2 linked regions of the Cricetulus griseus genome follow. The protein of the gene in region 2 binds, or shares a complex with, the protein of the main gene of each other region. Links are inferred from orthologs where the notes say so. Each region holds a gene or a part of one and is shown on either strand. Other genes may lie near its edges.

Evidence for each region.
Region 1: Rbm10 (region 2) and Mysm1 share a complex: the UniProt entries of both Homo sapiens proteins name them as parts of the large chromatin remodeling complex. The link is inferred for Cricetulus griseus from reciprocal best matches to the Homo sapiens genes RBM10 and MYSM1.

Annotation. Positions count from the first base shown.
Region 1 is NC_048595.1:53,898,165-53,903,843, reverse strand, and holds part of Mysm1 (histone H2A deubiquitinase MYSM1), read right to left. Parts: exon of another isoform or gene 3,342-5,679; intron 3,233-3,341; coding exon 3,155-3,232; intron 3,063-3,154; coding exon 3,039-3,062; intron 1,396-3,038; coding exon 1,317-1,395; intron 1-1,316. UniProt on the Homo sapiens protein: Metalloprotease with deubiquitinase activity that plays important regulator roles in hematopoietic stem cell function, blood cell production and immune response.
Region 2 is NC_048604.1:125,449,496-125,453,974, forward strand, and holds part of Rbm10 (RNA-binding protein 10), read left to right. Parts: intron 1-616; coding exon 617-800; intron 801-900; coding exon 901-1,040; intron 1,041-1,159; coding exon 1,160-1,277; intron 1,278-1,364; coding exon 1,365-1,456; intron 1,457-1,556; coding exon 1,557-1,721; intron 1,722-3,398; coding exon 3,399-3,548; intron 3,549-3,600; coding exon of another isoform or gene 3,601-3,642; coding exon 3,643-3,708; intron 3,709-3,785; coding exon 3,786-3,974; intron 3,975-4,060; coding exon 4,061-4,135; intron 4,136-4,422; coding exon 4,423-4,479. UniProt on the Homo sapiens protein: Binds to ssRNA containing the consensus sequence 5'-AGGUAA-3'. May be involved in post-transcriptional processing, most probably in mRNA splicing. Binds to RNA homopolymers, with a preference for poly(G) and poly(U) and little for poly(A).

The DNA.
Region 1 (5,679 bases), on a different chromosome or scaffold from region 2:
CATCCCTAGGATATTCAAAAAAGAGCTACCTCAGAAATGAAAGTGAGGCTTATTACCCGATAATTTTAGGTGTGAGTTCTGAATACACAAATGGGTCTCCATAGCCATCACTATTGTCAACAATAAAAACAAAAGCAGAATCTTACGTTCACAAACCACTCGCTAATATCAGCATATGCACATTTAGTCTCCGATAAGGGGCAAACATAGAAGTTATCCCTCGTAAATAAATTATCATTATTAGATTGTCATACAACAGATAAATAGCCAATATAACTATCATCAGTACAGAAAAAATAGAAAAAAACGCTCCAGATATTTATGTATTTGTATTGAAACACCATAATACATAGCTGTACTGACAAGAATACAAACATATTTTACTTCTCATAATTTGAATGTTATTAATTGAATTTTATTCAAACATCCCATAATTATATATTACCTATATAATGCCTATAAAATCTCAAAATCAAATTTGATATAAGTCTGAGTTACATATAACCTAAAGGAAAATAACCAACCTACTCTCAAAAGTTTAAATTAATGGTTATTTTATGAAACATTTCTCCATGTTGTGAAGTATTTTCAGTATCTGATTCACATATACACTTTACTAATTTTTATTTATATTAGAAACAATCTTATTTTACATACCAATCCCAGTTCCCTCTCCCTCCCGTCCTCCATTCCTCCCACCAACCCTCCATCCCACTCCCTATCCACGCCTCAGGGAGTGAGGCCTCCTATGGGGAATCATCAAAGTCTGTCACATCATTTGGGGCAGGACCTAGGCCCTTCCCTATGTATCTAGGCTGAGAGAGTATCCCTCCAAAGGGAATGAGCTCCCAAAGCCCACTCGTGCACTAGGGATAAATATCGGTTCCAATGCCAGAGGCCCCATAGACTGCTCAGGTCCCCCAACTGACACCCACATTCAGGGGGCCTGGTTTGGTCCTATGCTGGTTCCCCAGCTGTCAGACTAGGGTCTATGAGCTCCCCCTTGCTCAGGTCAGCTGTTTCTGTGGTTTTCCCCAGCATGGTCTTGACCCCTTTGCTCATCACTCCTCCCCACACACATATTTTTTATACTTCATGACGTCTATATTTTTCAAGAGATTTCAGTGAAACATTTACGCAAAAAATGTCTCTGGTCTTCAAATATATATATACTGAAAAATGTGGATCATGCACAATGCTAAATAGTTGAATGAAAAAGAAAGAATTAAGTTTATCTCCTATTGCAAATATACAAACTTTTTAAAAACTTTGCTTCTATAATAATTTTATCATTAGTTAAAGTTTTCCCTACTTACCAGTCCTTGTTCAAACAGTTCTTTTTCTTCTATCGTCCACTTTACTGAATAACTGGCTGGTTTTGTAGGAGAATGTACCCTGAAAGAAAAAAAGAGGAATTACAAAAAAAAAAAAAAAATGAAATGGAACGTTCCATTTAAGCAGCCAGAGGTTAGACACCAGTGGTTCTCAACCTTCCTAATGCTGTGATGCTTTATAGAGTTCCTCAAGTTGTGGTGATACCCCATCCTAAAATCATCTTCATTGCTATTTCATAACTCTAGTTCTGCTAGTGTTGTGATTCATAAAAGTATGTGTTTTCTGATGGTCTTAGGTGACCCCTGTGAAAGAGTTGTTGGAACCTGCAATGGGCTGTGATGCACAGGCTGAGAACCACTGTTATAGACAGTCACTTGAATAAAACCATGACTTCTAGTCTACTAAAAAAGGAGGGGAAGGGGACAGCTACTGCAACTGGTACCTGGGCAGTAAGGTTTACCCGTTTCTTATCTTTACCAGAATGAGTGTAAAAAATGTATATAACAATAGTATATGCATATACATAGGTATATATATGTACACACACACACACACACACACACACACACACACACACACACGCACGCACGCACGCACGCACGCGCACACACACACACACACACACACACACACACGCACGCACGCACACAAATATAATCTTTGGGTCTGAGTAAAGACAACATTAAAAGACATTTCTCTGGTAACAAATAGGTCTCCACAGACTGAAAACAAAAAGCAGCCATTAATATGTTCTCAAAGCCTAAGAATTTAAATCATAAAACTATGGCATCGCATTTATTGCTTTTAAATTCTGTATCACAAGAAATTAGAGCATAGTAAGAAAACTCTCCAATTTCATCAAGCATTCAATCTTCTCACTAACTTCACTTTGCTTATGTAGCAAAATATAAAAGCCAAAGTCTGCTTAATGCTCAAACAAGTTTATAAATGCTGAATAATGACCATGTTTTCCAATTAAAAAGAGGTTATTTGTAAAACATTTAATTTTTCTAGAATTTTTTGAGACAGGGTGTTGCTATGTAGTCCTAATTGGCCTAGAACTTACTATGTAGAGCAAGTTGGTCTTCAACTTGTGGAAATTCTGATTTGGCCTTCCAACTACTGGAATTACAGGCATGTACCACTATCCCCAGTCCAATTTTCCTAGGTAATTTTTAGAAGTCACAGATCCAAATGAAATTGTACGTAACAAATTTTAAATTATCAGACGGAACAAAAATCAAGTCAATTCATAATATATCTTTATGATGTGATAAACTGCCAAAAGAAAGACATTTTTAAAAAATTCTGGCAAATACATGATGGCATAAATGTACTCTAATATCTGCGCCAAAACCATCTTTAAAAAAATCTCTTGTCTTTTGAATCAAGAGAGCTGTTCACTGACTAAATCTAACTGTTAAGAATGTTCTTCTAATTCTCAATTGACCTAAAAAAGTTTTAAGGGGCTGGAGAGATGGCTTAGTAGTCACAGTACTCAACTGCTAGCACTTCTATCAGGCTGCAACAACTGCCTGTAACTCCAGCTCCAATGGACCGGACACCTCTGGTCTCCCTGGGCACCCACACTCACACACTCATACCCACACAGAGACACAAGTGAACACACACAATGAAAAGTAAAAAGGATTTTTATTTTTTAAAAAAAAAAAAGGGTTTAAAAATATAAAATAGGTACATACATGATTTTTGCTGTTTTCTGCAGGCTGCACATGAAAAAAAAAGAAAACAAGAAGCTTGTGAAGAAGTTACTAAATCTGCAATTCAAAACTTTTAATGCAACTTTTAATGATTTTACCTGTTGGTGTATTTTTTATCATCTTCCTTTTGATTGACCCAGAATTTTCCTGGAAGTGATTTATTAGACAAATAATACCTAGGTAATTTTTAAGGAAACGTAAACAATATTAAAGTCATATAATTCTTATGTAGTATCAAGTAGGCAGACTGGTCAAAGACATTCAAATGTAATCAAAGCCTATTACCCTTGAAGCTTGCCCAGGGCTGTAAGTCCATGCTGTCTTTACATGTTGCCTGTAGGAATGATCACACACTGAAACACACAACACAATTCCTGAAGCGCAGCAATGCTGGTTTACCTTCTCTTCTCTACCACAAATGGCTAAGAGAAAGAACTTCAATCTTTTTCTTTTCTAAAATAGTAATTTGGGAACCAGTGTTTCCGTATTTTTTAAGAGTTCAGGATTCTTCTACACGCTATTACAAATAACATCAAATTTGTCAAGAAACACCCTCTCGGCATTGCTGCAACTAGCCAGCTACGAAACTATTCCTTAAGTGTGAACTAGTCTTTTATTTAACAAATAAACTACATGTCATATGTTAGGCTATGTACTACAGACAATATATAAACATAATAAAGGTTCTGCTTACCCTCTAAAATATATTTAGAGTCTAAATGCTACCTGTTTCTACATCTGGAAATGAATAAATGGCTACCTGAGTTTTCAATAACCTAGAATTGCACAGTTCAGTATGGTGGCCACTAATCACATGTGTGGATCAAGCATTTAGAACACAACTAGAATTAACTGAGATGCAGTGCTAAAATAAAATGTACTGTAGATTCCAAAGACTTAGTATGAGACATTAATGATGTTTTCATTTGAGGCTGGGAACATGGTTCAATAATCCTAAGAATCTAAATGAGGATCCCAGGACGTAAAAACAAATCAATAAAATGACCCAGAGACTGATACTGGGGTTCAAACTTCAACCTGAAGACCAGAGAAGCAAAGCAGCCGGCTGCTGCTCTCACCTCCGGCTCAGGCTGAAAGGGCTGATCCACGGACTAGCTCTTCACCAGGTCTCAAACTGATGCCTCTCCTCAGTGTGGCTGGAGAATGAATGAATCTCTGAGACATACCTTCTGTCTTATATACTTCCCCAATATTGGGGTTAAAGGTGTGAGCTATAATTCTCTTTTAGATTGATTCACTCTTGTATAGATCTGTGTATCTGTTCATCCTGAGTCTAAGGATCAAAGGTGTGTACCACTACCTCCTAGCTTCTGGCTGCTGGGATTAAAGGTGTATGCCTGGCTTCTATAGCTTGTGGCTGACTTTGCTTGTCTGAATCCCCAGTCAAGCTTTAATAAATCATAAATAATGTTATCACTACACTAGGATCCACATAGTTTTGTGAACACATAATCCCAGCATTGGGAGGCAGACACAGGTGGATCCCAAGAGCTTTGGATTAGCTCGCCAGTCAAGTCCGTGAGCTTCAGGGTTCATAAGAATCCTCGCTCAAAAAATAACTTGGAGAGCGAATAAAGAAAACACCTGAAGTCAACCTCTGGGCTCTGGACATACATGCACATACAAACATGTCCAGCATGTGTGTGGGTACACACACACAAAGAAAAAAAAATTTCATATAAGCTGATATTTTAAATAATGTGTAAAAAAACCATAAAAACTCATTTATTTTATTTTAAATGAGGCTACAAGGAAATTGGAGATTACATGTGCCTTTCATTAAAAAAAAACAATCTAGGCAATATTTGGAGTTACAGAGTAAGGGGTTAACCAATGTCAACTCAAGACACAGAAAATATTCTTAAATTAACAGAATCAGTTGGGAATAAAATAGCAGAAATTCTGAATTAAATAATGGGCAGAGAGAGCTGGTTCAGTGATTAAAGAGCACTAATGGCTATTCCAGAAGACCCGAGTTTGATTCCAGTAACCACATGGCAGCTCTCAATGGTCTGTAACTCTAGGTCCCGAAGATCTAACCACCTTACGGTCTTCACAGGCACCAGGAACATAAGAGGTTCACAGACATACATGCAAACAAAAACACATACATAAATAATAACAGTGAACAGAGATCCATAAAATGCATATGGAAAAGTTAAAAATAAGCCACTATTTGTTAGTAATCATTAAAAGCCAGAAAATTAGAAATTTTTGATTTATTGAATTTTCTGAAATTACTGATATCCTCTCATTTGACGTAACAACAGTAAAAGATGCTACTTTGTGCATAGATAGTTGACATAAAATTATACAATCAATACCTGTAACCAAACGTCATCTAGTAATTACAGTGGCCTCTTCCATAATGTTTGCATTGATCTTTTTTCTTTTCTTTTTTTCTTTTTTTTTTTTGGTTTTTCAAGACAAGGTTTCTCTGTGTAGCTTTGGAGCCTATCCTGGCACTCACTCTGTAGACTAGGCTAGTCTCGAACTCACAGTGATCTACCTGCCTCTGCCTCCCAAGTGCTGGGATTAAAGGCGTGCACCACCAACACCTGGCTGCATTGGTCTATTTTTAACCCTGAAACCTTTACTCTTC
Region 2 (4,479 bases):
TTATGTAAGTATATATGCCATGAATAAAAAGGAACTTACAAGTATCTAAAAAATTTTGGGAGCCAAGTGTGGTGATAAACACCAGTAATCACAGCTCTTATGAGGTGGAGGCAAGAGGATTTGATGTTGAAGGCCAGTCTTTGACTATATAGTGAGTTTGAGGCCCTATCTCAAAACAAAAAAAGGAAAAGGAGGTGAAAATTTTGGTAGAGAATAAAGACTAGGAAGATGGGAAGGTGTGGTGTGTACCTATAATCCTAGCACTGAGTGGGACTGGGGGCAAAGGCAAGAGGATCGCTACACGTTCCAGGCCATCATGGGCTACATAGTTGTGGGAGGGAGGGAAGAGGAAAAATGAAGAGATTGAGGGTGTCTTGCTTGGTCTGAGGCCTAACACATACCTTATCAGGATCAGCCCAGGGTGGGGGGGCCATTTGAACATGTATCCGTTTTCTAGTCTCTTCTTCCTCCACTGTTGTTGTCAGGACCCCTTGCTCTTTACTACCTTAAGGCTGCATGCTTTTCTATCAAGTGGAAATGCTAGCTCCATGTGTAGGACAGATACTTCTAGCAGATGTCTTCCCTTATGCCCTGTCATCTCTCACCTGCCCCTCAGGCCTCCCAGGGTGGAGAGAGTGCCTGGGCTGCCCCTGAGGAGACTCCAGTTGACTACAGCTACTATCAACAGGATGAAGGCTATGGCAGCAGCCAGGGCACAGATTCCCTCTATGCCCATGGCTACCTTAAAAACAGCAAGGGCCCTGGCATGACTGGGACCAAAGGAGACCCAGCTGCTGCAGGTGAGCCTCATCCTCTCTTGCTGAGCTTAATTGTGGGGCCTAGAAGCCTACTGTCTTATGCGCTAACATTCATGGGTATTCTCCTTGGTTTTCCTTTCAGGTCCTGAGGCCTCCCTTGAGACTGGGGCAGACTCTGTGTCACTGCAGGCTTTCTCCCGAGCCCAGCCTGGTGCTGCCCCTGGGCTTTATCAGCAATCAGCAGAGGGAAGCAGTAGTCAGGGTACAACTTCCAACAGCCAAGTGAGGATAACATTGATTGACACTCTGGGGAGGCTGGTGGGCTGGCAGGGTGCATCTTGAGTGGGCAGGAGGGTATTAACAGACACTGAGTTGTGTTCCCTTTTGTGACCCATGAGCAGTCATATACCATCATGTCACCTGCTGTGCTCAAGTCTGAGCTTCAGAGTCCTACTCATCCCAGCTCTGCCTTACCACCAGCCACCAGTCCCACTGCCCCAGAGTCCTACAGCCAGTACCGTGAGTAGCCATACATAGCCTGTAGGTAAGGGTGTGGACTTCTCCAAGCAAGGAGGAATTTGACAACCTTGTCTTTCCTCCCCACAGCCGTTCCTGATGTCTCTACTTACCAATATGATGAGACATCTGGCTACTACTATGACCCCCAGACTGGTCTATACTATGACCCCAACTCCCAGGTAGGTGACGGGGTAGGCTAGGGAAAACTGGACTGTGGTTGTGTGGCAGCTAGCCCTAGAGGTCCTCCCTCATGTCACCTCTTCCCATTCTCTTCCTCAGTATTACTACAATGCTCAGAGCCAACAGTATCTTTACTGGGATGGAGAGCGGCGGACCTACATACCTGCCTTGGAGCAGTCTGCTGATGGACATAAGGAGACGGGGCCATCATCCAAGGAGGGAAAAGAGAAGAAAGAGAAGCATAAGACAAAGACGGCCCAACAGGTGAACCTCCAGCCATCATCTCCTGTTTGGAGTCTGTGTTCTGTCACCTCCTGCCCTCTTCAGCTTAAAGGAAAGTAGAGTAGTGGGTGGGAATGGACAGAGGTTGTAACTGCTTCAGAAAGTAAGGACTCTTGAGCCAGATCTATTTTGGGAGGTGGGGTACTGTAGCAGGACTACCTACCACCATAAAGTGACTTACACCATCTGAGTGAGCTCTGGCAGCTTTTCTCTGCCCCTCGAAGGTAACCTTCATGCTGCTGGTGGATGTCTGTTGATCCAATATAAATTCTCGTAGGCTTATATGAAGTTGATTAAGAAACATTGCAGGGTTTTCTATAGAGAGCAGTTAGAGAGAATCTCATTGCCTCTGTAGAGAAAGGGTATAACATTGAAGCACAGCACTTAGAAGCAAGCAGTAAGTATTCCCTCAGCAACCTGAGGAATTCATAGACTGGAAGAAACACAAAGCATTAAACTTGACACCATGTCACATGTCTTAGGTTCCTATTGCTATGATAAACACTGACTAAAACCAACATGGGCATGAAAGGGTTTTTCATCATGAACAGAAGTCGAGGAAGGAACCTGGTGGCAGAAACTGATGTAGAGACCATTGAGGAGTGCTTCTTACTGGCTTGCTGTCCGTAGCTTGTTCAGTCTGCTTTCTTACACAACTCAGGACCACCTGCCTAGGAGGTGGCACTGCCCACAGTGAGCTGGGTCCTACCACATTGGTCAGTAATTAAGAAAATACCCCAGAGACTTACCAATAGGCCAGTCTGTTGGAAGAGATTTCTTAATTGAGAGTTCCTCTTCCCAGATATGTCTAGGTTTGTATCAAGTTGACAAAAACCAACCAGAACATCACACATAAATTGAAATTATATACAACCCTAGGGGTGTGGCTCGGTGGAAGAGTGCTTGTCTAGTATGTTACAAGACCCAGTTACTTCCCCATTCCCATACACAAGTATGTAGTTCTCTGTATTTAGAAAGTAAAAATGAAAGAACAAATAATGATACAAGTGCCAAATCAGAAGTTGGGGTTGCAGCCAGGCAGTGGTGGCCTTAATCCCAGCACTCGGGAGGCAGAGGCAGGTGGATCTCCAAGGCCAGCCTGGTCTACAGAGTGAGTTTCAGGATGGCCAAGGCTACACAGAGAAATAAACCTGTGTCAAGAAAGAAATAGTTGGGGTTGTAACCAGAGAGGGGCTTGAAAAGGATCCCAGGCCAATACAGAAAATAGGATCTTGTACCAACACCTTTGCCCCACTGCCCTTCTGACCCTGCTTGCTCAGTTGTTATCTGCCCACACTATTTCTGCTGCTGCTTTTGCCTTTGCCTTTGGAAACTACATGGAGTAGGTGGGAGGCAGGGGAATGTTTGGAAACAGTCAGTAGAAGGAAGGGATCCTTGGCATGAGCTTGAGTTTATTTTAATAAGATGGTTTGGAGAAGGTGGAAGTATTTGGGCATGGTTTATGGTTTTTAAAGGAATGTTCTACAAGGATGAGACCCCAGAGCCAGGTATACACAGCCTTTTACAGTGGTTGAGTTAAGAAAGGTACCAGACTTGAGGCTACAGGGCGGGAAGGGCTACTATTGCAAGGGTCATGGGTGAGAGAATAAAGCCCCAAGTTCGAGGAATTCTGGGAACTTTAATCCCCCCCCCCCCCAGATTGCGAAGGACATGGAGCGGTGGGCCCGCAGTCTCAACAAGCAAAAAGAAAACTTCAAAAACAGCTTCCAGCCTATTAGTGCCCTACGAGATGATGAGAGGCGGGAATCGGCCACTGCAGATGCAGGCTATGCTATCCTTGAGAAGAAGGTGTGTTGTAACTGTCCATCTGTGCCCCACCTACAATCTCATTACTCCTTAGGGTCCTCTGGGGAGCCCTGAATTTCTGTGTCCTTTACCTCAGGGAGCGCTAGCTGAAAGACAGCACACCAGCATGGATCTCCCAAAGTTGGCCAATGATGATCGTCCAGTGAGTTGTCAGAGCAAAAAGGGCAGGGGTCTCTGATCTCAGCAAGGCTGCTGATTTCCCACCCTCACTGTCTACAGAGCCCACCTCGAGGGCTGGTGGCAGCCTACAGCGGGGAGAGTGACAGTGAGGAGGAGCAGGAGCGAGGGGGTCCTGAGCGGGAAGAAAAGCTCACAGACTGGCAGAAGCTAGCCTGCCTGCTCTGCCGCCGCCAGTTTCCCAGCAAGGAGGCACTCATCCGGCACCAGCAGCTCTCTGGGCTCCACAAGGTAATTGAGCAGAGAGTTGGCAGGATAGCCTGTGTCTAGCCCATTTCAGCCCAATTGCTTTACTCTTCTTCTGTCCCCCTCTACAGCAAAACCTTGAGATTCATCGGCGAGCCCACTTGTCAGAAAATGAATTAGAAGCACTAGAAAAGAATGACATGGAGGTGAGGTGTGACCCACTCCTGGGCTCCATTCCATCTTCCCCTTCCAAGTCCCTGTCACTCCAGGCAGTAGGACTTAAAAGTTCCTTAGCCAGGTACAGCCTGACTGCCATCTGTTTTCCTGTTGATGGGAGACTTCTTCCCAGTTCCCATGCCATTGTGTCCTGACCTTCAGGACCTAAGACTGGGCCAGACAGAGAGACCTGTATGCCTCCCCCCAGCCCCATCCATGCCTATATCTGCTGAAAATAACAGCCAATTCCAACATCTTCCCGTGCACTAATTTGTAGCAAATGAAGTACCGAGACCGTGCAGCTGAACGCAGGGAGAAGTATGGTATCCCTGAG